Linked DNA regions of Danio rerio. The protein of the gene in region 1 purifies or fractionates together with the protein of each later gene. This does not show direct contact. Links are inferred from orthologs where the notes say so. Each region holds a gene or a part of one and is shown in the gene's direction. Other genes may lie near its edges.

The links.
Region 2: the proteins of atp11a (region 1) and tmem30aa purify together in Homo sapiens (co-immunoprecipitation; 4 studies listed by BioGRID and IntAct, with this or other methods). This does not show direct contact. The link is inferred for Danio rerio from reciprocal best matches to the Homo sapiens genes ATP11A and TMEM30A.

What each region holds. Positions count from the first base shown.
Region 1 is NC_133176.1:49,629,665-49,642,366, reverse strand, and holds part of atp11a (phospholipid-transporting ATPase IH), read left to right. Parts: intron 1-303; coding exon 304-407; intron 408-698; coding exon 699-749; intron 750-1,754; coding exon 1,755-1,819; intron 1,820-5,477; coding exon 5,478-5,559; intron 5,560-6,281; coding exon 6,282-6,432; intron 6,433-6,894; coding exon 6,895-7,092; intron 7,093-7,388; coding exon 7,389-7,562; intron 7,563-9,561; coding exon 9,562-9,728; intron 9,729-10,316; coding exon 10,317-10,388; intron 10,389-12,678; coding exon 12,679-12,702. UniProt on the Homo sapiens protein: Catalytic component of a P4-ATPase flippase complex which catalyzes the hydrolysis of ATP coupled to the transport of aminophospholipids, phosphatidylserines (PS) and phosphatidylethanolamines (PE), from the outer to the inner leaflet of the plasma membrane.
Region 2 is NC_133192.1:56,062,342-56,075,784, reverse strand, and holds the start of tmem30aa (transmembrane protein 30Aa), read left to right. Parts: upstream 1-5,823; 5' UTR 5,824-6,009; coding exon 6,010-6,258; intron 6,259-8,611; coding exon 8,612-8,731; intron 8,732-10,391; coding exon 10,392-10,499; intron 10,500-10,959; coding exon 10,960-11,047; exon of another isoform or gene 11,048-11,350; intron 11,351-11,542; exon of another isoform or gene 11,543-13,180; coding exon 13,181-13,327; intron 13,328-13,443. Other genes in the region: filip1a (filamin A interacting protein 1a), read left to right, coding at 1,179-1,382. UniProt on the Homo sapiens protein: Accessory component of a P4-ATPase flippase complex which catalyzes the hydrolysis of ATP coupled to the transport of aminophospholipids from the outer to the inner leaflet of various membranes and ensures the maintenance of asymmetric distribution of phospholipids.

The sequences.
Region 1 (12,702 bases):
AACATGGTACCTGGTAAATTCCTTATGATCAGTAACTGCTTTTTCAAAAGAATGAAATACGTTTTTGCTTAAAGTAGGAAAAATAAATCTTCCAATTCTGAATAATGAAAAATGTATCATTTATGAATAAAAATCAAGTGTTTTTCAAGATTTTCTCCATTTCTGATCTGCTCTGTATATTTGTTTACACTTGCACACACACACACACACACACTCTTAATAGTTAATAGCAGAAATTTGTGTGAGAGTTTTTGACCTTGGAATGCTAACTTGTTTCTCTCTTGCTCTCCTCTTTACACAAAGACCTATTATGCAGTTCAGGACACAAAAGCCTTCAGCACAGCAGAGGAGGTGGACACGCTGCACGCCACCATAGAATGCGAACAACCCCAGCCAGACCTGTACAAGTGAGAAATAGGCTTCTATATCAGCAGCAAACACAAAAACAAACCCGCAGATTTTGCTTACAAATTCACAGTGTGTATAGAATTACTGCTGGACCGTCAAAACAGCATGAAACGCACTCCAGAGTGTGTTAACTACACACACACACACACACACACACACACACACACACACACACACACACACACACACACACACACACACACACACACACACACACACACACACACACATATTGACACAGAGCCCAGACCAGACATTCATTTCTGTCTTTTCTTCCTCTCCCGCTGTAGATTTGTGGGACGCATCAATATTTATTTGGATCGAGACGAGCCCATCGCGAGGTAAATCTATATTCAGGAAATTGACTCTTAATTAAAGGGCCAGTGTGTGAAAGATTGAATTCAAGAGGCACAATTTATCATTTTCATAGAACAGGTCTGTCTTCCAATTCGTATTCTTGCTAAAGCAATGCTTCCAACATTTCATTCTTTAATTAAAACATTTTTTGGTGCAGATATGTAAGTTATGCAAATGTATAAACATACAGTATATACCGTATTTAAAACTAATAAATAAATACAGTATTTTTATAATATATACACTCACCGGCCACTTTATTAGGTACACCTCACTAATAGGTGGTTGGGCCCCCTTTTGCATTCAGAACTGTCTTAATCCTTCGTGGCACAGATTTAACAAGGTATTAGAAATATTCCTCAGAGATTTTGGTCCATATTGACATGATAGCATCAAGCAGTTGCCTTTCTATCAGCTCAAACCAGTCTGGTCATTCTCATTTGACTTCTAGCATCAACAAGGCATTTGCATCCACAGAACTGACACTCATTGGATATTTTCTCTTTTTGGACCATTTTCTGTAAACCCTAGAGATAGTTGTGTGTGAAAATCCCAGTAGATCAGCGGTTTCTGAAATACTCACAGCAGCACATCTGGCACCAACAACCATGCACATTCAAAGTCACCTTAATCACCTTTCTTCCACATTTTAATGCTTGATTTAAGCTGCAGCAGATCATCTTGACTATGTCTGCATGTCTAAATGCATTGAGTTGCTGCCATGTGTTTGGCTGATTAGAAATTTGCATTAACGAGCAGTTGGACAGTTGTACCTAATAAAGTGGCCGGTGAGTGTATGTTCTATATAGCACAAAATTGTATATTTTCATTGTTTTTTTTAGCAATGGTTTTTTATTTTACATGTTACGATTTTTACCTATTTACCTTTCTTTTAATTTAAGGTAGTCTTTAAGTATAAATTTTCAGCACCAAAAAAAGAAAGTTATTATATGTGTAATTCTGAATTTGATATTGTTTGATTTTCTCAGACCTCTGGGTTCTGAGAATCTGCTGCTACGTGGAGCCACACTGAAAAACACAGAATACATACATGGTAAGAAAAAACATTTTGTATGTGTATACATGATATATAATGTATATTGTATAAATACCAGCATGATCTCACGAGGAAACGTAAGTATTTTACGTTTTGTCAGTTTAGTGGCTAATTTGTATGAGTGCAGTCATACGAAAATGTACGATTTTAAAAAGGAAAAAGGCGTGGCACCTAACCCCACCCCTAACGCCAACCATCATTGGGTGATGAGCAAATCGTACTAAACTGTACGAATTAGATTGTACTAATTCATACGAATTAGCCACTAAATCAAAAAGTTACGAATTGCCGTGAGATTGTGTTGTATACACTGAACAACGCACAATCCAGTTCAAGGCATATATTTAATCAGTTTTTGTATCGCTTTGGAAACCTAAACTTACTGATGACGCCAAGATCCATCACTATAATAACCTGATACAGCCTACAAGGTAGAGGCAAGAGAATAAGAGAAGAGAGTTGCTGATGGAGTCGTTCTGTCACTCTGTTCCCACTGTAATTAAATGAGTCACTCAGGCTTGTGAGATCAGAGAGAAGTTCGTAATTGCTGGAGAGAGAGAAAGAAAGAGAGAGAGAAAGAGAGAGAGAAAGAGAGATGAATGTCACATTATACACGTGAGGATTCAAGACCGGGGCAAGCTGAAAAAAATGTTGAACTGTTTCAGCTGAGCTGCTATGATCCGCTACAGAATAAAAAGAGCTGTGGTAAATAGAAGCAAAGAAGCTTGTGAAAAATGTCGTTATTGTTTAACCACAAAATGTCTCACTGAGAACAAGCAATTGCAAACACAAGAGTTTTTTGTCAAGATACAATTGTCTTTGTATACAGCTGAAGACCGAATTCCCCCACAATTTTTGTTTGATGGAAAGATTTTTTCAACACATTTCTAAACATAATAGTTTTAATAACTCATTTCTAATAATTTCAGATTTATTTTATCTTTGCCATGATGATAGTAAATAATATTTGACTAGATATTTTTAAAACTCTTCTATACAGCTTAAAGGGGCTAATTTGTACTTTAAGATTTATTTAAAATTTAAAACTGCTGTTTTTCTAGCCAAAATAAAACAAATAAGTCTTTTTTCAGAAGAAAAAATATTATCAGACATACTGTGAAAATTTCCTTTATCTGTTAAACATCATTTGGGATATATATATATATATATATATATATATATATATATATATATATATATATATATATATATATATATATATATATATATATATATATATATATATATATATATATATATATATATATATATATATATATATATATATATATAAAAACCAAAGGGGGGCTAATAATTCTGACTTGAACTGTATATTTTGCAGCCAGTTTAGATGTCATTTTATCCTCTCTGACTAAAAAGAAAAGTTTATCTGAGTCGTTTAGATCAAAGAATTGATTATTTAATGTTTCTCTCGGTCTTGCAGCTGTGCAAGTGCTGTCAGCTGTGAAGCCAAGCTAAAGTAAATCAGGCTTAAAATAAAAAAGTCATGAGAAAATGCATACAATTAAGGATGACTTTATAAAGTGAAACCAAAAGCCAAATCCTGGACATTTTCTGAGATTTAGAAACCCTGGATTGATGATTTTAAGTCCCAAAAAGGCACATCTCTGTGGGTCTCTGCAAAGCACGTGAAATAGTCCGGAGGAGTGTTTACAGTTCTCCCGCACACACAACGAGAAGTAGGAAACGTGCAGGCGGATCCAAAAAAAAAAGTGATAATAATAAAAAAAAATAAATGTCACCAAATATACTTGGGCGGCTGTTAATATACCTGGGCGCCCTTCCCAAGGCTGATTAACCTTAAAATGGTTTAAAAGAAAAAATGAAAACTGCTTTTATTCTAGCCGAAATAAAACAAGTAAAACTTTCTCCAGAAGAAAAAATATTATAGGAAATACTGTGAAAAATGCCCTGCTCTGTTAAACATCATTTGTGAAATAATTCTCTGGAGGGCAAATCATTTTGACTTTACCTGTATGTGCTATTTATGAATACATATGAGTGAAATATTTTTGAAGTACGTTCCTATTGATATTTTATATATATTTTAGCACACCACAGTGACTAGGAACAGAAGGTTGTTCAACCATGACCTCCTGTTTCACAGGGCTATAAATATGAAGAAATGCACAGTCCAAAAACTCACTCAGTCATTCATCACAGTGGAGAAGAGCAAAGTCAGAGCAGTGATTTGTGACAAAAGGTTGTTTGTTGACAAAATGAGAATATAGCTGTATGAAAGTAGGCTTTTGTGCCTGTGCTTTGCTACTGAATGCGTCACTTTGTGGTACCATCCCAAGGGGGCATTAAATCAATCGCAAGAAAGATTAACCTTTAATGTTGCGTCCTGCTGGAATGACTTGCCAAACTACATGATCAGTCTATGATCATTTTCAAGAGCACGTCATGATTTTGCCAAGCACAATGTGATCCTGTATTAACATCTGTGTTGATCCTGGAACATAATTTTTGTTGGAATATGTAATACATACCTATTCCCTTCCCCTAAACCCAACCATAACAGTAGATTATTCCCAAAATCAGAATAATAGTTGGATAACAATCACGTAGATATGGATGTAGTTCATAAACCTAATGGTAAGTTTAAACTGAACATAAACGGTAAACGTATCCCTTAAATCTGATCGGCTGATTGGAATGCTGTTCCAGGTTCAGCATGGATGTTAATCCATGAACATGTCATACTTGGGAAAATCTGGTTGGCGTTTTCAAGAAATGTCTAAAAACGGGTCTGTTTCATCAGTACTTGCTAACAACAGACTCTATTTTTATTTATTTACACCAGAAACTTTTAAATTACAGAATCTTTTCTTATAAACAATCCATATTTCTCTGAAAACATTGTCCAATTCTGAGTGTGCTTCATGCAGGTTAATGAGCTTGACAAACCACCCATAGGACACACTCTCTCCTCTCCGCGTGCACCAGACACTTTCTTATCAACAATCCACACTTCTGGAAACATTGTGCAGTTTTTACAACACATGTCACAACAAGATTCCCGAGACAAGCAATTTGACTCTCCGCACATGACGTGACACGACACAAACATTTAGATATCAAAATCCCAGTAGATCAGCAGTTTCTGAAATACTCAGACCAGCCCGTCTGGCACTAACAACCATGCCACGTACAAAGTCACTTAAATCGCCTTTCTTCCCCATTCTGATGCTCGGTTTGACTTGCAGCAGATCATCTTGACCGTGTCTCATATCTAAACGCATTAAGTTTAGCAATGTGATTGTCTGATTAAAAATTTGCGTTAACGAGCAGTTGGACAGGTGTACCTAATAAAGTGGCCGGTGGGTCAAAGATCAAAAAGTTAAATATTAAAGACATTTTTTCACAGTTTTCTTTCCTCATATTAACAAAGGGTGCCAACATTAGCAGAGGAAACTGTACACCTAAAAATAATTTAGCTGCTTGTTTAAAAAATTTAAATGAGCTGAAAAAAAAACAGCTCAATTAACATAAATTTGTTTAAACCATTAAGTTAAATTAATCGATTTGTGTTGAGACAACATGAAGGGATTGTGTGGAACCCAGCATTTATTACAGTGCATATAATGGTTTCTTTAATCATAACTAACTCTGTGGTTTCTTGTTTTTCTAGCTGTGGCCATTTACACGGGCATGGAAACCAAGATGGCCCTTAACTACCAGTCCAAGTCTCAGAAACGCTCCGCTGTTGAAAAGTAAGACACGATGATAGACGTTCGATCAGTTTATCTTGCTGTCAGCATGTACAGCGTAATGCATTTAGTGTCCTGTTTGTAAAGCAAATTGTGGGCCTCTGTATTTGATGTCACAAATGGTATCAAGTTGCGCTCACATGTGTTTCTGCGACAGACGGATAAATGCAGCCATTAGGCAAATACATCAGATCTCTATTTATTAAATAAACAAGTGTACTTTCAGAGATCTATTTTCAGAGTTTCAGATGTCATTGACTTTTTAAATCAAATAAATGTTGATTTCCTTTTTTAGCCCTTTAAACGGGTAGTTCGCCTAAAAATAACAAACAATAGTCATCGATTTTACATTTTTTGAGTTTCTTTTTACAATTAAACACAAAAGAGAATGCTTTTGAAGAATGTTGTATAGTTTTAGACTGACTTCCAAAGTATTTGTCCCTACTATGGATGTCAATAGCCACCTTTTAACATTCTACGAAATATCTTCTTTTGTGTTCTACAGATAAAAGCTCACAATAAGTTTTAATAATCTGAGGCTGAATAAGCATGAAGTAAATTGCCATTTTTGCTTGAAATTCCCATTTAATTTAAATATTTGAGATAGTATTTGGATGTTGACTTTACATTCCCTCTGGCCAAGTCACACTGGTTTAGGATACATGTCCAGAAAACATTAAGCATGATTTTGGGTGTTTCTCATCTGCTTGTTGTTTGCATTGCAGGTCTATGAACGCCTATCTGATTGTGTACCTCTGCATTCTGATCAGTAAAGCTCTGATCAATACTGTCCTGAAGTATGTCTGGCAGGCCGACCCGAACAGAGATGAGCCCTGGTACAACCAGAGGACTGAGTCTGAGAGGCAACGACATGTAGTATGTGCTATAAACAATGTCTTTTTTCTTCTTTTTATTATTATTATTATTATTATTATTATTATTATTATTATTATCAAGGACAACACATACACTTAATACACAAATACACTTAATTTATACATACACATGGACATCACCTACTGTATATGCTATATAATTGCAGGTTAACTATGTTTATAATAACTTTAACTGTTGAAAGCTATTAGTTACTAATTAGTTGGTTAAAGTTATTAGTAACTAATAAAGTTGTGGTAACTAATAACCTTAGTTATAATAATAATAATAATAATTTTTATTATTATTATTATTATAGGATAAATAAATAAATAAATAAATAAATAAATAAATAAACAAACAGATTTGGTAAATACAAAAAAAAATGTATTAACTAAAAAAATATATATACATTGTGTCGAAAATGCGACAACCCAAACATCCCATGTTGTTTTGTGTCCTCAGTTAATCCGGGCTTTCACAGACTTCCTGGCCTTCATGGTTCTGTTTAACTACATCATTCCTGTGTCTATGTACGTGACGGTGGAGATGCAGAAGTTCCTGGGCTCCTACTTTATCCTGTGGGACGACGACATGTTTGATGAGGAGGTTGGAGAAAGGCCGCTGGTCAATACCTCGGACCTCAATGAGGAGCTTGGACAGGTAGCAGACAATTTTAGCCCACTTTTAAACTGCTGTTTGGGTCACTGTTTGTTTACTATACTCAAAAAAATATTTGTTTTTGTTCGTTCAAACAACTTAATTCAAATGAGCTAAAACAACACAATTCTTTAGATTTCATGGGACAACTTAATTTTTTTAATGTTCAATCCAAAAAATTTTGTTAAGAGTCCTAAATTAACTTAATCAATTTGTGTTGGGTCAAGGTCCAGTCAACATCAATGAATTGCGTGGAACCCTGCATTTTTTACAGTGGATGGCACTTGTTTTTTTTACAGGTGGAATATGTGTTCACTGATAAGACAGGCACTTTGACAGAAAATAACATGGAGCTGAGGGAGTGTTGCGTGGATGGACATGTCTATGTGCCACATGCCATCTGTAATGGGCAGATCTTACCTGGAGCTGCTGGAATGGATATGATTGACTCCTCTCCAGGTGTAGAGGGAAAGGTGAGCTTCTTGTTTTGATTATAGCTGATTTAGTTTAGTGAGAGGGGTCTGGCTGCAGACCTGGTGCAGTGCAATCTGGGCTGCATCCAATGCTTTTTAATGGGCTCACCTAACCCCACCCCTAACCCTACCCGTCACTGTGACGTCACTAGCTCCATTTGAGTGCATTGTGTCTGACATTGCATCGCTGAGTGATGCAGTCTCAGCTTGCATCATAAAGGCTGCATCCAGATACTATTGAGTTTAGTTTAGCTTAGCTTAGCTTAGCATAGCTTAGTTTAGTTTAGTTTATATATTTTTAAAATTAAATTCAATTTAATTTTGTTTTTTGCTTTAATTAGATAAAAAAATATTGTTATTATTTAATTTAATTTTGTGTATTTAATTTAATTTAATTTAATTTAATTTAATTTAATTTAATTTTATTTTATTTTATTTTATTTTATTTTATTTTATTTTATTTTATTTTATTTTATTTTATTTTATTTTATTTTATTTTATTTAAGTTGTTCATTCATTCATTCATTTTCTTGTTGGCTTAGTTCCTTTATTAATTTAATTTAATTTAATTTTATATTTTTGGGCTTTAATTTAACTTAATTTAATTTAGCATTTTTAATTTTAAATTTAAATTTTATTTAATTTTATTTCTTTTTTTGCATTAATTTAATTTGGTTTTAAATCTTAGCTAATTAATTTTTTTTATTTAATTTTGTATTTATTTATTTTATTTAATTTTCATATTTTTTATTTAATCCAAAAAAGTCCAAAAAAGTATTTACTGTAAAATTAAAAACATAATTAAAATATGAAAACAATTGTCATGTAATTTTTTTTTCCCCAAATTTTTTACCATCTAGTCCCTAGGTAAAGTTTACCTTAAGTTTTCCTGTCATTATTCAATTTAATGAATCAGTTTGACCAAATGCATTTTCTCCCACAATAATAATATTATATTCATCAAAGTAAGAGATGAGAATGTGTGGTTATCGGTGACTAGTTATGTTTCAATGCACAGAAATTGTCTGATATTATCGACGGCAAGTTTTAGCATGAATATTTTAGCCATGGATGGATGGCGTGATGGATGGATTTTAATTTTATCTTTGATAAATCAGCTTTGTGACGACGTGACACATTAATTCTGAAGATTAACTAAAACATCTGTGAAAGAATTTGTTAACTCGTCTCACATCTCGACAGTTGCAGTTTTAAATGTGATCTCTTTGAATATCAGTCAGGAAATTAGATCGGCTCAGTTTGTCCATTCTAATGAGATCATTAGGCTGAAGTGTGTTCATAATACAATTAAACTTCAGAGTTGGTTGTTGTTTAGATTTGTAATGTATCAGATGCATCCAAATATTTACAGGATAAATGGGTATTGACTGCATGTTGTTCAGACACTGATAGCCTTTCTGTCTCCTGTTATCTCTTCGTCTTTGTCACTTAATCTGGCTTTGTTAGTCTATCTATCTTCCTTTCTGCTGGTGTGAGAGGAAACAGACAAATAATTCTTGTCCACTTAGTCGACTCACTTTTATTTTCAAAGATTTTATCGAGGGGCTAGAAATTCTGACTTTAACTGTATGTCAAGTTGTTATAACAAAAACATCTCAAACAATGTCATCTTTGCATTTAAAAAATGTCTAAACTGCACTTCATAAAGGTGTCATAAACATGCATACAATCTCCTTCATATTCGTGACCTGCTATGTCATGATTATAAAGGTGTCATGACAGTCTTGAGAACACCACCTTCCTGTTTTTTACTCAAAGTGATGGGAGTCATCGATTTACATTTCATGAATCACTGATGACCATTGTTTCAGCTAAATATCTTCCTTAACAAAATGTCAGCTACAATACATCATGGATGATTGAGGGTCAAAAGATTTTGATTTCTGGGTCAACTATCCCTTTAATGTCTTGATGTATTTTTGTTGAAAAAGATCTGCAGGAGTCGTTCCTCACAACTGCATGCGTTTTGCCTGTACAGGAGCGAGAGGAGCTGTTTTTTCGTGCGCTGTGCCTGTGCCACACTGTCCAGGTAAAGGAAGAGGAGACGGTCGACGGCATTAAGAGAGGAATACATCAGGGCAAAGCCACATCTTTCTATATCTCCTCTTCCCCAGACGAGGTTGCGCTGGTGGAGGGCATGAAAAGGCAAGATGAATGCATATATATTACACACACAGACACAAAACAGGGCCACCATATTGCACTTTAGACACTGTCCTTCAAGGTTTGAGATACAGAGTCTCACTTTGGATGACAGAGCAATTTTATATTTCATTTTCCTGCCAAAACAGTCAGAACGCGTCGTGTAAATTATTACTCTGATCTAAATAAACTATTGTCAATAAATCATAAACCATTGTTTCATACCCTCACACCTATTCACACACACATTTATCATGTTTTACATATAGCTATTATAGATACTATAACATAACCCTACCAGTATGCAGTTTTAACAATAAATCACTTATTTAATGCGTATGAATAATCTTTATTTATTTATATATTACGTGTAAATCAATACTCTGATCATAAAACTCATATTATCCCTTTAAGTGTGCTATTTTTATGGTTCCTACACGTTTTTGAGGTCTCCTACAATATACTATACACACTGTAGTATATACTGTATAGCTTTTTGAGCCATTTATAACACAATCATACAAATCTAGAATAAATAATGCTCAGCAACAATCATAAAGAAACTTGTTTTTCTTTCTCTCACCTGCTCAGATTGGGCTTCACCTACCTCCGTCTGAAGGACAGTCACATGGAGATCCTTAACAGAGAGGATGAGATGGAGAGGTGAGCCATCTGGACAACAGCATGAGCTCAATGACCAACAGGAAACTGTAGCAGCATTTGCAAGTCCATCAGTCTGTCCAAAAATCTTACTTTACACTATCCAAAAAAAAAACTTACATGCATTAATAGGTTAAATATACGTTTTTATGTGATGTATATTTTTACCTACAAAAAAGAAAAAAATGCTTCAAGAGTTAAGACCTAGCTTATGATTAGTAATTAGCTTGTTTGGCATGCTGTCCCGGCAGAGAGCCCTGAGCTTATAAGTGAAACCAAGGGATGTGACACTGACAACAGAGGTGAGGATCCACATGCAGGTTTATTAGAATGGTCAGGCAAGCAGGGGTCAATATGGGGGCAAACAGATGTATGAGGGCAATCCAGAGTCGGAGAATCAGTCCTTGAGCAGCTTCAGCTGTGCGATTGTAATCAGTAGAGATTTAGAGCAGGTGTGTGTGTGTGTGGCATGACTGAATATGTAGTCCATTTGCAAGCAGACTTGTAGTCTTATGTGTGTGAATGTTTACCAGCGACCTCTGGTGGTTAGATCGCTGGTTATCATGACAATAAGATCCTTGAGTCCTGGGCTCCCTCCCGTTAGCAGGGCAAGAGGGGAGTTTGAGCTCAGGTAGATCTTGATGAACTCCCCTGACTTATTTCTGGCTATCGACAGATATAGGGATTGCTAAGGAGAGATATACGGCATACTAAGAGCTTGACTTTGATGTCAATTTGGTCTGTTCTATTTACTTAGATTGTGTGTTTTTTGGAGAAACCTGGGGAAAACCCACGCAAGCATGGGGAGCGAACTCTGCACAGAAATGTCGACTGGCTTAGTAGGGACTTTAACCAGAGACATTCTTGCTGTGAGGCAACAGTGCTAATCACTGGGCCACCGTGTCGCCCATCTAATTACTAGGTGGGAGGAGAGATTCATCGAGATGAAGATACTGAGATAAGAAACTGCTTATTTATAGCGAATTAGAAATTATATGATTAGTGAATTAATCATAAGTTAATGCGGGACCAGCTGTGGACAATCATAAGCATGTGATCCTCTCGAAATTAGTTTATAAATAAACAGGGGATACAGGGGTTATAGGGTAACAAGAGTCAGCAAAGTGTGTGTGTGTGTGTGTGTGTGTGTGTGTGTGTGTGTGTGTATGTATTTGTGTGTGTGTGTAGTTGTGTTTGTGTGTGTGTTGTGTGTGTGTGTATGTATTTGTGTGTCTGTATTTGTGTGTGTGTGTGTGTGTGTGTGTGTGTGTGTGTGTGTGTGTGTGTGTGTTTGTGTGTGTGTGCGCTGTTTATGTGGTCCATCTGATTAGTCCATCATGAGGTTTTGTGTGTGTAATTATGGGTGATCTGGAACTGGTGTGTGTGTGAGGTGCCACATGGGAGATGTAGTGCAGTTCAGGGGCAGAATTGTAGTCCGGATCATATAGTAGATGTCTATAAGGGCTAGATCGCTGGTGTTCATGGCAGGGTAATTAGGATGCTTTAGAACTATTGGACTTTCTGGAAGGGTATAGAATTTTGGATTTTCCTATTGACTGTGACAGTTTGCAAAGGGTATGAATAATTTTGCCTCTTTTTTTATTAAATGTAAATAAAAGCTGAGAAGGACATTTTTCCTCACAATGATGCCTCTTGCACATCATCTTATTATCTTTTGGAAGTCAATTTCATTAAATAAAACTTTCTGGTTGAATAAAAGTAACTTCACATCAGAATATGCCCGGGGTATGAATAATTTTAGGGCTAAATGATTTCCAAATAGGCTTTTAATTTCATACCAGATTTCGAGCACTTTAACTCACTTTAATTTAATTCTAGCATTTTAAAAAGGAAAGAAAGCTCAGTAAGAGAACAGTTTGCTCAGTTAATCTCTAATCATTTGCGTATTTACAAATTAGGTTGGCATATTAATGCAACTGTGTGTTTTTTAAGATAACACTTTTAGGTAGTGAAGTTTCCCCTGTTCAGGCAGTGAGGGGACTGGTGTGTGTGCGTTTGTCTATGTGTGTATGTGTGTGTGTTCATGCCCTTGAAGGACAAGGACCAGCCATAATTAGTGCAGCTACACACTGTCCTACAGCTGAGAACATGAGGGTCAGCACAGAGCGCAGTCCCATAAAAAGTCTGTCCGTCTGTGATAAAGATGCATCCCAAAACACCCAGCAAACGCCATGCATTCCTCTGATTTATGCGAGCATAAATGTGGACATAGTCAGTTGTCACTTAACCTTTTAAATACAAAATATTTGCCTTTGTGTTTATGTGTTCACAGATTTGAGCTGCTGGATGTGTTAAA
Region 2 (13,443 bases), on another chromosome or scaffold:
GACCTTAAAGAATAAACAGTGTTCCACCAGAATCATGTATGTCAGAAACTGTAGTTTACTGCTGAACTCATTTTGTCATGGTAAAATAACACAGAAATCGAATAATAACACTTCAGTCTCCTGCCGAAGCTCAGATGCGCTGCTTTGAGAAACTGTCAATCACAGCTGTCAATCACGATGACACGCCCAGCATTAAATTAATGCTAAAAACAAATTTTTTACAAAAATGAAGATCTGCAGCTATTTCAGCACTATAACCAGTGCCTTAATCCACCAGAACCATCTTTCGGGACATTTTATTGCAAGTGTAAAACATTTTTTATTTGGGCTCAAGTCTCCTTCATTAACACGGAGGAGGCGGGCTTTATGACTTGTACTGCAGCCAGCCCCCAGGGGGCGATCTAACGGCCGAGACCTTCACTCAAACGCAGGCTTGCGGCACACTTGCTTTAAACCAGTTGAAAGCGAATGATCTGAATCAGGTGTAAGGAAGACATACAAAATGTACAGGCCCAAGGACCAGAATTAAAAACCACTGTTTTAAACTATCTTTAAACTAAAATGTTGCACATCTTGAGCAAGTCTGCTGTGAACGCAACAGTTCCTGTTGTTTAAAACATGTATCGTGATTCTTTTAACATCCCTGCCAATTTGAATCGTCACATCTTTGAAGCAAGTTAGTAACTATTTGATTTTGTGGCTAATTTTGTATTAGTTCGTACAATCTCATTTAGACATTTCACTATGATTTGCTGATCCTCCAATGAGGGGTAGGCTAGGGGATGGAGATTGGGTTAGCTAATAACAAAAATCAGGGTTAGGGGTAAGGCCTGTTGGCATGCCTCCTTTTAAAATTGTATGTTTTTATATAAATAAAATCATATGAATTTGTTACGAAATAGTCTTTTTTTTTCTGACAATTCATAAAAGAACTACATTTCCTCAAGATTGGGCTGGCTAAAAAACAAAAAATAAGGGATAGAGTTAAGAATGGGGTTTGTTGACATGCCTCTTTTTAAAAATTTGTACATTTTTATATGAATAGAATTGTATGAATTCATATGAAATAACACGTTTTCTCTAGGTACGTACATTTCCTTGAAATTGGGCTGGCTAAAAAAACAAAAAGGCCTTGCATCTCATTAAATCATGCTACTTGTTTTTCTGGTTCTCAACAGCAGCCAGTCCTGGATGTCCCATCAGCACGATCAGGGTTCAGTCGTATCCCGATGTCTCGGGGCATGAAAACCGGAAAAGCTGTGCTGGGAGCTTTGGGACTCACCACAGGAGCCAAATCAGAAACAAATGCGGAGGCCATTCACACTGACCTGAAAAAATCAGCTGTTAGTAATGGAGCCTTACAGGCCGGAGGGAAGGGCTGAGACGGAGAGTACCACACAAACAAGATCCACAGATGCATTTTACTCTACTGCCAAAGAAAATTCATGATTGTGAAATTATTATGTGTGGCAGAGATTTAAGGGAGGACTTTTTTTTTTACATAGGAGAGGAAACATGAGTTGGCGGTTCATTCCGCTGTGGCGACCCCAGATTAATAAAGGGACTAAGCCGACAAGAAAATGAATGAGTTTTTCTATAGATGCTTTACAGATTATCATTATACATTGATGTATGTGTTTGTATATATATGTATTTTCCATTTTTTTTCTCTCTCTCTCTTTTTCCCATATATGCTAGTGGGTGTTTGTGTATCTATGCCGAATTTATGATGATAGTAGACTTTGCTTAAATTATTTGAGTGCCATTTGAGATGTTTAAATGAGTCATGTGACCGTAGTACTCAAAGGAGACTCTAGACGCACCTGATCACTGTTGCCCTGATGAAGGCAGACTCCTGCCGAAACGCGTAGGTTTTTGGAGATTTAGCCATGTGAATAAAGGCTTTTTAATTTTTCACTAATTTCGAGTGCCTTGGACTGATTCTTGTTGCTGTTTTGATGAATCCCTTACCCAAAGAGCACCGACCATACATTTGAGCTTACCCCAGAGCGCTTTTTGTTTGTTTTTTCAGGAAAGGAAACATGTTGCCTTGGTCTATAGATAGTTATGACACACCAGAAATTAGCATAACTTGTTTTAGTTAAATAAATGTAATAGGATTTTTCTATTGGTTTTGTATTGCCAAAAATAGGCTCTTTGACTAGTTTAAGATTCATACGTTTTGTGTTTGTGTTTTACACAGTCTTCGTAAATTAATCATGAATTTTATATCTTAAAGGCACAGTTCACCCAAAAATAAAAATTCTGCCATTTGTTCAACACCTGCTTGAGTTTCTTACTTCTGTTGAACATAAAGGAAAATATACTGAAGAAAACAGCCTTTGACTTCTATTTCTTTTCCCAGCTTTCGTTAGAATATTTTATTTTGAGTTCAACAGTAGAAACAAACTCATAAATGTTTAGAACCACTTAAGTCTGAGTAAATGAGGAGGACATTTTTATTTCTGCATTTATAAACTGCATTTGAGGCTATAAAATTAAATTCAATTAAAAAACCCAACTGACTTCAAGAAAAAATGTTATGTTGTTTATGGGTTTTAGCCTACAAAAAATACATCATCCCTGTCACATGTGTAATAATTAATATAGTCATGATCTATTAACGCTGCCTTACACAAATCAGGATTTCAAGAGTTCACACTTAGCTGATGATTAATTATACAAGCTTGTTTGGCATGCTGTCCCGGGAGAGAGCCCTGAGCTCAGGAGATCCTCGAGCCCAGGGCTCCCTCCCGTTGCAAGGCGGGAGGGGAGTTTGAGCTCAGGTAGATCTCGAGAACTCCTCTGCTGTAGTAACCAATGAACAGTAAGTGATTGCTCTTGAAGATAACTCCGTACTAGAAGCATATCTATAGTGCCAATTTAGAGTATTCAATTAACTTAATTGCATGTTTTTAGGCGGTGGGAGGAAACCGGGGAACCCGGGGAAAACCCCCGTGAGCACGGGGAGAAGTGCAAACTCCACACAGAAATGTCTGCTGGTTTGGTAAAGCCTGGAACCAGAGACATTCTTGCTGTGAGGCGACAGTGCTACGCACTGGGCCGCCGTATCACCCGTCTAAGAAGGAGGAGTAGGGGAGGAAGGGGGGACTCTTCAAAACAAAGATAGCATTGGAATGAAACCCAGGGTATTTATAGTAGTTTAGGAGTCATCTGATTGGAGTGTAGTGAATTGGATAATGCAGATCCAGCTGCTAGCAATCATAAGCACGTGATCCTCTCGAAATTTGTTTATACATAAACTTCACTTATTAACAATAAACACCAAGTTGACAAGTTAGTAGGTTAAAGGATTAGATCACCCAAAAATGAAAAAAATATTATTTATTACTCTTACTGTATGAATATATGCCATAATATTTCTTTATACCGTAATACAAGTTTTATCAGGGTTTTTTAGACTCGTTGGAAGTTTCTCAAATAGTGTTTTTGATGCCACAGCTCATGTAATTGCAGAATAATCACATTTGTAGAGTTTAGGTGTGTACACAATCAACATTGATGAGGAAAGATGTCAACACAGAGCTCATCATGGGTGAGGTGAGCTCAACAGATGAGCGCTCTGATCTCTTCTGCTGTTATTATGTTTTGAAAAAATAAATTGTTTTTGGTAAAAGACTGTATATCATGTTTATTTTAGAAATGATACCTACTAAATGATGTATTTTAATACTTTTGTTTATGATTATATTTAACGAAGGAATGTACATGATTTCAGACCAAAGGTTTTCTGTTTGTGATACTTCTGTTGTGATTCTCTCCGATAAGTACAGTCTGTTTTTATTGTTGTTTCTAAGTAAAATGATTGAGAGGGTGCTCGCTGCAGAGCCATTTAAGGAGAGCTGAGCTCCAGCGAGGGGGAGCATGAGCTGTCGCTCCTCCTCCTGTAAGCTGTTTTAATGCGTACACCAACCCCACCCCTAACCCTACCCCCAGTGACATCACTCGTAGAAGAAGTGCAAAAAAGGTGGAGCTCAAGCTTAAGCTCCCCCTCGCTGGAGCTCAGCTCTCCTCAAATGGCTCTGCAGCGAGCACCACTTGAAATGATTTGCTTTTATGTGTCAAAAATATGTTTTTTTTGTCAATTTATTATGCAATTCAAATGATGTGTATACATACATTAAATTATTATTTCTTTTAACAGTATAAGTAGGGCAAGGGGTAGCGCTATCATCTCACAGCAAGAAGGTTGCCTGTTTAAGCCTCGACTGGGTCATCATGGGTCCATATGTGTGAATGAGAACGTATGGGTGTTTCTCAGTGATGGGTTGCACCTGGAAGGGCATCCGCTGCATAAAACATATGCTGGATAAGTTGGCGGTTCATTCCACTGTGGCAACCCGTGAGTAATTAAGCCAAAGACTAAGCCCAAAAGAAATTAATGAATTTATAATATATATATATATATATATATATATGTAATATTATATATATATATATATATATATATATATATATATATATATATATATATATATATATATATATATATATACAGTATATATATATATATATATATATATATATATATATATATATATATATATATATATATATATGTATATGTGTGTATGTGAGCAATATCACACGAGTAGCAGTGCGATATGGTTGTATATCAGCACTGGTGGGAGGTGTGCCTCAATGTCCCACCAGTAACGATATACAGCCATATCGCACTGCTACAAGTGTGATATTGTGTCCAACAGTTCAACGACATAACGACGTGTATATATAAAAAAAAAATCAAACGCAGAGAGTCTCAAAAGTGTGATATGTGATATAAAGTGAGTCTCAGAATGTGCATTAAATAACATTTTTCCACGCAGACATCCCAAGTCTCCCGGAAGTTCCAGGAGTCTCCCGCAAATGCACAGAGACTCCCGGATGCCTGCAAGCGAGTTATAATCTCTTGAAAATCGCGGGTCTCCCTCCCGGTCCTCAAATACGTTGCGCACCCTTCTTACTGCATCCCTCCTTGCTCTTCAGACACATCCTGTTAAACACCACCAACACCCGATCTTCAGATATTTTTACGTAGCATAACTCCCGCAAACTCCGACAAATCATCAGTCTTGCCCGGGAATGACTATTCTCAACTTTGGATGTCTGTCCATGCCATGTCTTAAAAATATGAACATTTTTTTTTACGCCAGATTATTCAAAGGAGCTTTTGTACTAGCCTGCTGATCCTGACAGCTTGTGCTGGTAAACGGTCTTTCATCTCATTTTATGCTTGACCGATTAAATGTCTGTTTAATTTAATAAGTCTGTTTAACTGACTATATTTTAAAAACATTAAAACATCGATGCTGTAAAAGAAAAAAAACATATAAAATTGTACAAGCCACATTAACTGTTCACCAGACGTTTAATAATATGGGAAGAAACGCTCGCTGCTGTGCATATACCCCATTGTTCACCTAAAGAATAACAATGTGCGCTAGCAAAATGAGCATTGTAAATTTTGATTTCACCTGGACTTTAAATAAAAATTACATTTTGTATTTTCTCCAGCAAGATACAAAGGATGAACTACCTATTTAGTTATTGAATGCATATTAAACACGTTTAAATTAAAATACTGCTCATCTCTGCATCACTGATTTTCTATTTCAGAAACAAACAGGAACATGCAAACAACAGCAATAATAATAATAAAGACACAAATGCATACCAAACATATTAAAATACCGGTAAAAGAGCATAGCATACTGTATTAAGAGATTATCAGGGGAATAAAAACAGTTGTTTTTATTCCTTAGTCGTCATGTGATGCCGTCACAGCGTCGCTGCAAGTCTATTGGCTGCAGCACTTCCTTGTTTATCGCCTTGTCCACATCCTACTAAGCGCTACGGAAATAATCTCCATCGTTTAATGGCGCGGTCATTGTACCATCAAAACCATCGATAGCGGCGATATAACACACGCTGTACCCAACCAAGGACATACATTTGAAGTTGTGCTCGTCTTTGAAGGATTAAAGCGCGATGATGGCGTCCAGCTATAACGCGAAGGAGGAGGACGGTCATCATCCGGGATTGGTGGGCTCCGGCGGCCCGGGCGCCGTCAAGAGCAAGAAGCCGGACAACACGGCCTTTAAACAGCAGCGTTTGCCCGCCTGGCAGCCCATCCTGACAGCAGGCACCGTCCTGCCTGCCTTCTTCATGATCGGACTCATCTTCATCCCCATCGGCATCGGACTCTTCGTCACCTCCAATAACATCAAAGAGTTTGAAGTGCGCAACTTCACCATAGTACCGTCAGGGCTGTGCAGTATGACAATATAAAATGTCTATCTATTCATATTCTATCGTTAAAATAGTTAGTTCACAGCAAAATTGACAAGCAAAAATCATTATTTACTCACCCGTTGCTTGTTTTTAACCTTTGTGAGTTTCCTTCAAATGTCGAACACAAAAGAAGATAGCTCGAAGAAAGCTAAAAACCTGTAACCATTATTAAGGATAGAAGTAAAGTTTCGGATTTTCAGACATTCCCCTTAATAATATCATTTCAGAAAAGTATTCATTGCAAATTTTAAATAGGGAAATCATATTAGCAGCAAATGACTTTCAAAGTACAACATTGTTCACAGTCAAATAAACAGTGTTAATGTTGTTTTCAAGTCACACTTGCATGCTAATTCAGATCGGATATTTAAAGTAACATAGTAAACAATATATAGACTGCTAAATGAACGAATGTGTGAATATAAAACCAACTTTACCTCTATTTATTAAGGTAAGGTCTTATATTCGCACATTCGTTCAGTGACAACTTGTGACTCGCTCCCTATATTGTTTACTATCATATTTTGTATACATTAAGGGAAATTTGGTTTTATATTTACGCATTGGGACTTATTATAATTTCAGAAAGAATTCTTTGCTCTAAATAAATAAATAGTGAAATCATGTTAGCAGCCAGTGACTATCAAAAGTACATCATTGTTAACAGTCAAATAAATAGTGCTAATATTGTCTTGATGCCGTACATGCATGCAATTTCAGATCAAATATTCAAAATACCATGGTAAAAAAAAATTAGAGAATATTACACAAGTCACTGAACGAGTGTGTGAATATACAACCAACTTTACCTTAATTTTTTTATATTTGATTTAAAATCACACGTAAGTATGAGTTTCAAATAACATTAGCACTATTTGTTTGACTGAACAATGATAGAAGTAAAGTTGGTTTTATATTCACACATTCTCATTAATAATAAAGTCTCAGAAAAGTATTAATTGGAAATTGTAAATAGCAAAATCATATTAGCAGCCAGCAACCATCAAAGTACAGCATTGTTCACAGTTGATTAAATAGTGCTAATGTTGTTTTGAAGTCATGTGATTTCAGTCCGGATATTCAAAGTACCATGGTAAACAATGTATGGAGCTGTCAATGAATGAATGTGTGAATATAAAACCAACTTTACCTTTATTGAACAATGTTGCAGTTTGATAGTCACTAGCTGCTACTGTGATTTTACTATATAGAATAAGCAAATATTTCTTTTTGAAATTATATTGTTAGGGAGAAAGTATGAATGTGTGATTATAAAACCAGCGTTACCTCAATGTAACCATTGTCTTCCATAGTAGGGAAAGTGATAATGTGTATGTCAATGGTTACAGGTTTTCTTTTGATTTGTGCTCAACAGAAGAAAGAAACTCAAAGTTTTAAACGTATATAGGGTGAGTAAATGATGACAAGAATTAGCATTTTTGGGTGAACTATACCCTTAATATTGTATTGTTACAAAATTTATTGTTTAATACTTTTCATAATTTTATATAAGCGTAATATTATACGCCATTATGAGGATAAAGACAGAAACATATTTACATTTTATTTAGCAATATTTTATGCTCAGCCTATAAATCATTAGTTTATGAATTTTTTTTCTAAATTTCATTAATATTTAATTATAATTAGAAACAAATACACTGAAGTTTTAATCTGATCACATATTAATGAGTAGATTTTTGAGTAAATACTTAGGAATTTACAGAAAATTATATATATATATATATATATATATATATATATATATATATATATATATATATATATATATATATATATATATATATAGGCAAGACAGTGGCGCAGTAGGTAGTGCTGTCGCCTCACAGCAAGAGTCGCTGGGTCGCTGGTTCGACAGTTGGCGTTTCTGTGTGGAGTTTGCATGTTCTCCCTGCCTTCGCGTGGGTTTCTTCCGGGTGCTCCATTTTCCCCCACAGTCCAAAGACATGTGTTACAGGTGAATTTGGTAGGCTAAATTGTCTGTAGTGTATGAGTGTGTGTGTGGATGTTTCCCAGGGATGGGTTGCGGCTGGAAGGGCATTCGCTGCGTAAAAACTTGCTGGATAAGTTTTCGGTTCATTCTGCTGTGGCAACCCTGGATTAATAAAGGGACTAAGCCGACAAGAAAATGAATGAATGAATTATATATATATATATATATATATATATATATATATATATATGTCATATTGCACAGCCCTACAACATAAAATAGTAGCATCGTGAATAGTAGTTTGATGTTATTGTGTAACTTGTGCTGTTGTTGTTTGTGTTGTAGATCGACTACACTGGTGTCGACATGTCCAGTCCGTGTTACAACTGTGCACAGAACTACAGCTGGAACAGCACTAGTGTGTGCACTTGCACTGTTCCCTTCACACTAGACCAGCCTTTCGAGGTAAACACACTTTACACTGCTAGACCTACATCATATTTGTGTGTTTCTGTGTTTTATTTTCTAGATCTGAAGTTTTTTTTGCTGCGATGTTGCGGAAATAGAAACTGTTTCTAAATTAGAAATTTCGCAGTCGCAGATGGTTAAAATAGAAACTCCTTTTAACTTGAAAGAGACATATTTTATTGCGTGTTAGGACACTGTGTTACACTTCAGAAAATGTTTTTCTTTTTAAAAATCAAAGATCTAAAATTTAAATAAAATATAATAATCTAGAAAGCATTTTCTAGACAAGTAAAAAATTATTTTTTTTTGTTTTTAAAGAAATAAGTCAAAATAAAGTTAGTTTTTCCTTAAAACAAGCTAAATAATCTGCCAATGCGTTAAGTTAAATAATCATGTTTTTTTGGTATGAAATAAGTTTATCTTACTTAATTTATATATATATATACATATATATATATATATATATATATATATATATATATATATATATATATATATATATATATATATATATATATATATATATATATATGGTTAAAAAAAGATCACTTTAGCAGGTTTAATCAAAAAGATACTTAATGCATTGCTTAATTATCTATACATTATCTATAAATCGAACAAATGTTTTAAACAAATTAATTAGCAAAAGAATAACTGCAGGATTACAATAGAATTTTATTAGTTATTAACTCCATTTAATAAAACGGTTACAACTTTTAAACCAGTGTACTATAGATTTTACTGCAGTAAACTGGTCTATTGTTGTTTATTACACCCTATGAAGTTGTAAAAATTGTACTACAATATTCATTTGTTTCTGTTATTAGTTGTTGTATTACCAGCAACTTACTACAACAAATGAATTCAACTACTTTACTATAGTATGATTCAAAAACACTATGTATTTTACCACAGAAATTGTTTTAATGTGAGTGACCTTTTATAAAGAAAACTGAGTAGCTAAATTATGAACTATATTCAGTTGTTGTCTACAAATTACATAAAAAAAAACAGATAACACATTTATGGAAATGTAATCTGACTACATTTGGATTACATTTAGATTACTTTTGTGCTTGCAGTTTGTTGAAAAATATGTTCATTTTGTCAGCAGCAAAAGCCTTAACAGATGAATACTTCACAATACTAACAATAATATACCTCTCTGTTTGTTTATGATTATAGTAACACAGGATAATACGAAGTCACATTTTCTGAGTTTGAAAGATTTACTTATATTAAAGCACATTTAGAAATCAACATCATTGTCACTGCTACATCAGTTATTTCATTAACAAAAACCTATAAATGCATATGAAGGTATCAATGAAAAGCATAGCAAGCGTGAACTAATTTAGAGATATATTTAACTCTAGCTCCATTATGTTGTATATTTGCTTTGTCTGCTAACCGTTGGATGGTCAAACAAATCACCTAAAGTGCCATTAGCTCTCATGTATTATGCATTAGTATATTTAGAGGACGTTTTATTGATCGCACCTTTTAATATGTTAAAAATAGAATTGTTTTCCGCTCTTGTTATAACAGAGATCAGTTCAGATGATCTATAAACAACACTGAAGTAGCCTCAGTATAAAAGATTTTATGGCTGGTGACTGGATGTTATTTTAACCTCTAACTTCTTTTTTTTTTGTAGAGTAATGTTTTCATGTATTACGGACTCTCCAACTTCTATCAAAACCACAGACGTTATGTCAAATCCAGAGATGACAGTCAGCTGAATGGAGACAAAAGCTCTTTACTGGTGAGTGTTTCGACATATGCTGACTAAATGTTTGACTTTGACTTTAGTATATTATATTTAATTTTGTTTTGTGTAAACTTATAGTTTAATATTGGTGCATTTTGTGAGATCTGATGGTATGGAAATGCTTGAGGCCCAAAAGAGAAGTGGTAACAACAGCCAGTAAGTTGTTGGGAACAAAACTAAAGAGTATACTGGTAGTGTATACAAAGAAAGAGCATTACAAAAGGCTATCATGATTGTCAATGAAAGCCTTATTATATATATATTATATATATATATTTGGTGACGCGACTGACGTGACATGCTTTTCCGCTCAGAGTTTACTTTTGTTTAATTGTCGTTTGCATATTGCAAATATGTGTAATTAGTGTAAACATGGCCCTAGCAAGCATACTTACTGAATTGTTGAATCGAGTTTGTACGTTGTCTTCAAGTGTTTAAATCTTTTGTTTTACAGAATCCGAGTAAAGAGTGTGAACCGTATCGAACAAGTGACAGGAAGCCCATTGCTCCTTGCGGCGCCATTGCTAACAGTCTCTTCAACGGTAAGACTGAAGGCTCATAATACTAATAACCCAGAGGAGTAGCGGACTGGCCCGCAGGGCACGCTCCGTGGGGGGGCCCCGCGTGATTAGGGGGCCCCACGTTGTCGCGAAAATCCGGCAACCTCAATAATCAAACTCTTGAAAACAACTGTGGTCGGAACCAATGTTCACAGGTCTGTGTTCTCTGAACTCCTCTCAACCGGTGGACTACTTCATTATGATTGCCGCCGAACCGAGTCAAGCTCGGTCATAGCTCATACCATAAAGTTGACTTGATTTCAACTCTCCTCGACACTCACACAGGTGAAGACGCGCCGCGATGTTTTTCACCGCCGTTTCTCATTGAAAATGAATCACTTCTGGCTACTTTGACGCTCTCGCCGTTTTCGGTTTGTGATCGCTCCTCAGTTTGTGAAGGCTTCCCTGTGTTGTCGCCCCCCCCCCTTTCCCGCTCTTTAGTTTGTGATCGCTTCTCAGTTTGTGATCGCTCCTCAGTTTGTGAAGGCTTCCCCGCGTTGTCGCTCCACCCCGCCTTCCTTCCCTGCTCCTCAATTTGTGATTACTTCCCCGCGTTGCCCCCCAACCAACACCTCTCCAACTGGGGGCCCCGTCAGTGATCCCTGCAGGGGGGCCTCCCCATTTTGCGCTACGCCACTGTAATAACCTTAATGATACTTAGTGCCTAATATGGCTTTGAATATTACAAAGGCATGTTGCTGTTTTAAATGCTTGATAATAATTTTCTTTCAATAGTTTAATTGTTCATTTAGACTATTTAAATAATATTTCCTCTGTGCTAAACCAATATTGTTATTTTAATAGTTGTTTATTCTTTGTGTGAATTAGATATGCACCAAAACCATTTTTTAAGATACTTTTTTTCTTTTACTCGCTGGTACTGATGCCTTTTTTGGGACGTGGCAGTTTTCGAAGTAATGACATTGTAAAACAAATTTTTTTTCTTTGTAATTACGAAAATCTGTAACTCCTTAACACAAGTTTTTTTTTATTTTTATTAATTATCATCCCACTTTATATTAAGTGTACTTAACTATTATGTACTTGCATCAAAAAACTAAATACAATGTACTTACTGGGTTTATAATGTATTTTGAGAACACTTGTGGTGCTTTTCAGTTGGGATAGAGGTTGGGTTATGGGCAGGTTTGGTGGTGTGGGTAGGTTTAAGGGTGGGTTAAGGTGTAAAGGATTGTCAACAGTGTATTAACAAATGTAATTACAAAAGTTAATTACAGATGTAATTACATACATGTATTTGATCAAACATGTACACAGTAAATACATGCATTTACACAATAAGTACATTGTAACAAACTATTAAATCCTGTGTAAGTACATATTAGTTAAGGCCACTATTAAAAAGAGACCTTAATTTTTATTAATTATTAATTAATTCATTCATTTTCCTTTCGGCTTAGTCCCTTTATTAATCAAGGGTCACCTTAATGAGGTGGACTCGGCTCAATTGAAACAAACCCTGGGTCAGATTGATTGTAGTGAGAAAGCAATACGACTCAATAAGCCAACGAACCAGGCTATATCACAGTGTATTATGCATATGTAAAAGCCATATATATGGCTACATGAAGGGAGAATTATGAGTAGGGTGGGATGTCATTCCTACCAATAACATGGTGTCATGTCGAATACGAAAGTGAAAGCATGCTGAAATATTACCGAGTGCTGTTTATTCGTTTGGAAAATTTACAGAATTAAAGAACCATCTGACATTTTTCCCATATTTTAGTCTCATAATATTTTGTATTAGGCCGATTGTTTTGTTCATTTCCAACATTTCTTACAGTGAAGGCTAACAATTGCACCTTCAACCGGCGGCAGTTACTTTTGCACTTATGTGTACTTTTGCATGCTGTTTAAATGAAGAATTAGCACAAGTTTATTGAGAATTTGAAGGTCGGTCATGCTGCTCATTGTAAAAGTATATAAATAAACCATTTAATGTCTGTCAGAAGCTCGGATCAGTAGACCCTATAAACAAAGCTAATGCTAACATGCTCTAGCGGCTTTCTATGAGCCTCAAAATAAATATTCACTGCTTACTCAGGCCTTAAGTCTGTTTGTTTGCTCTGTGTGATTCCTTTATGTTTGTAGATACACTGGAGCTGTTTTATATCCATCCAAACGGAAGCAAAATCGGCATTCATCTGGTGAAGACAGGCATTGCGTGGTGGACTGACAAACACGTCAAGTTCAGAAACCCAGGAGGAAGCAACAACAACCTCTCCGTTGTTTTCCAAGGTACAACTCAGAAGTCTACTCGATCATTCGGATGTGTTTAGCAGGGCCTTTCAGCTCATGTTTCACATTTCTTTTTGATTAGATTTTTTTCAGATTTCAAGTAAAGATGTTTTATT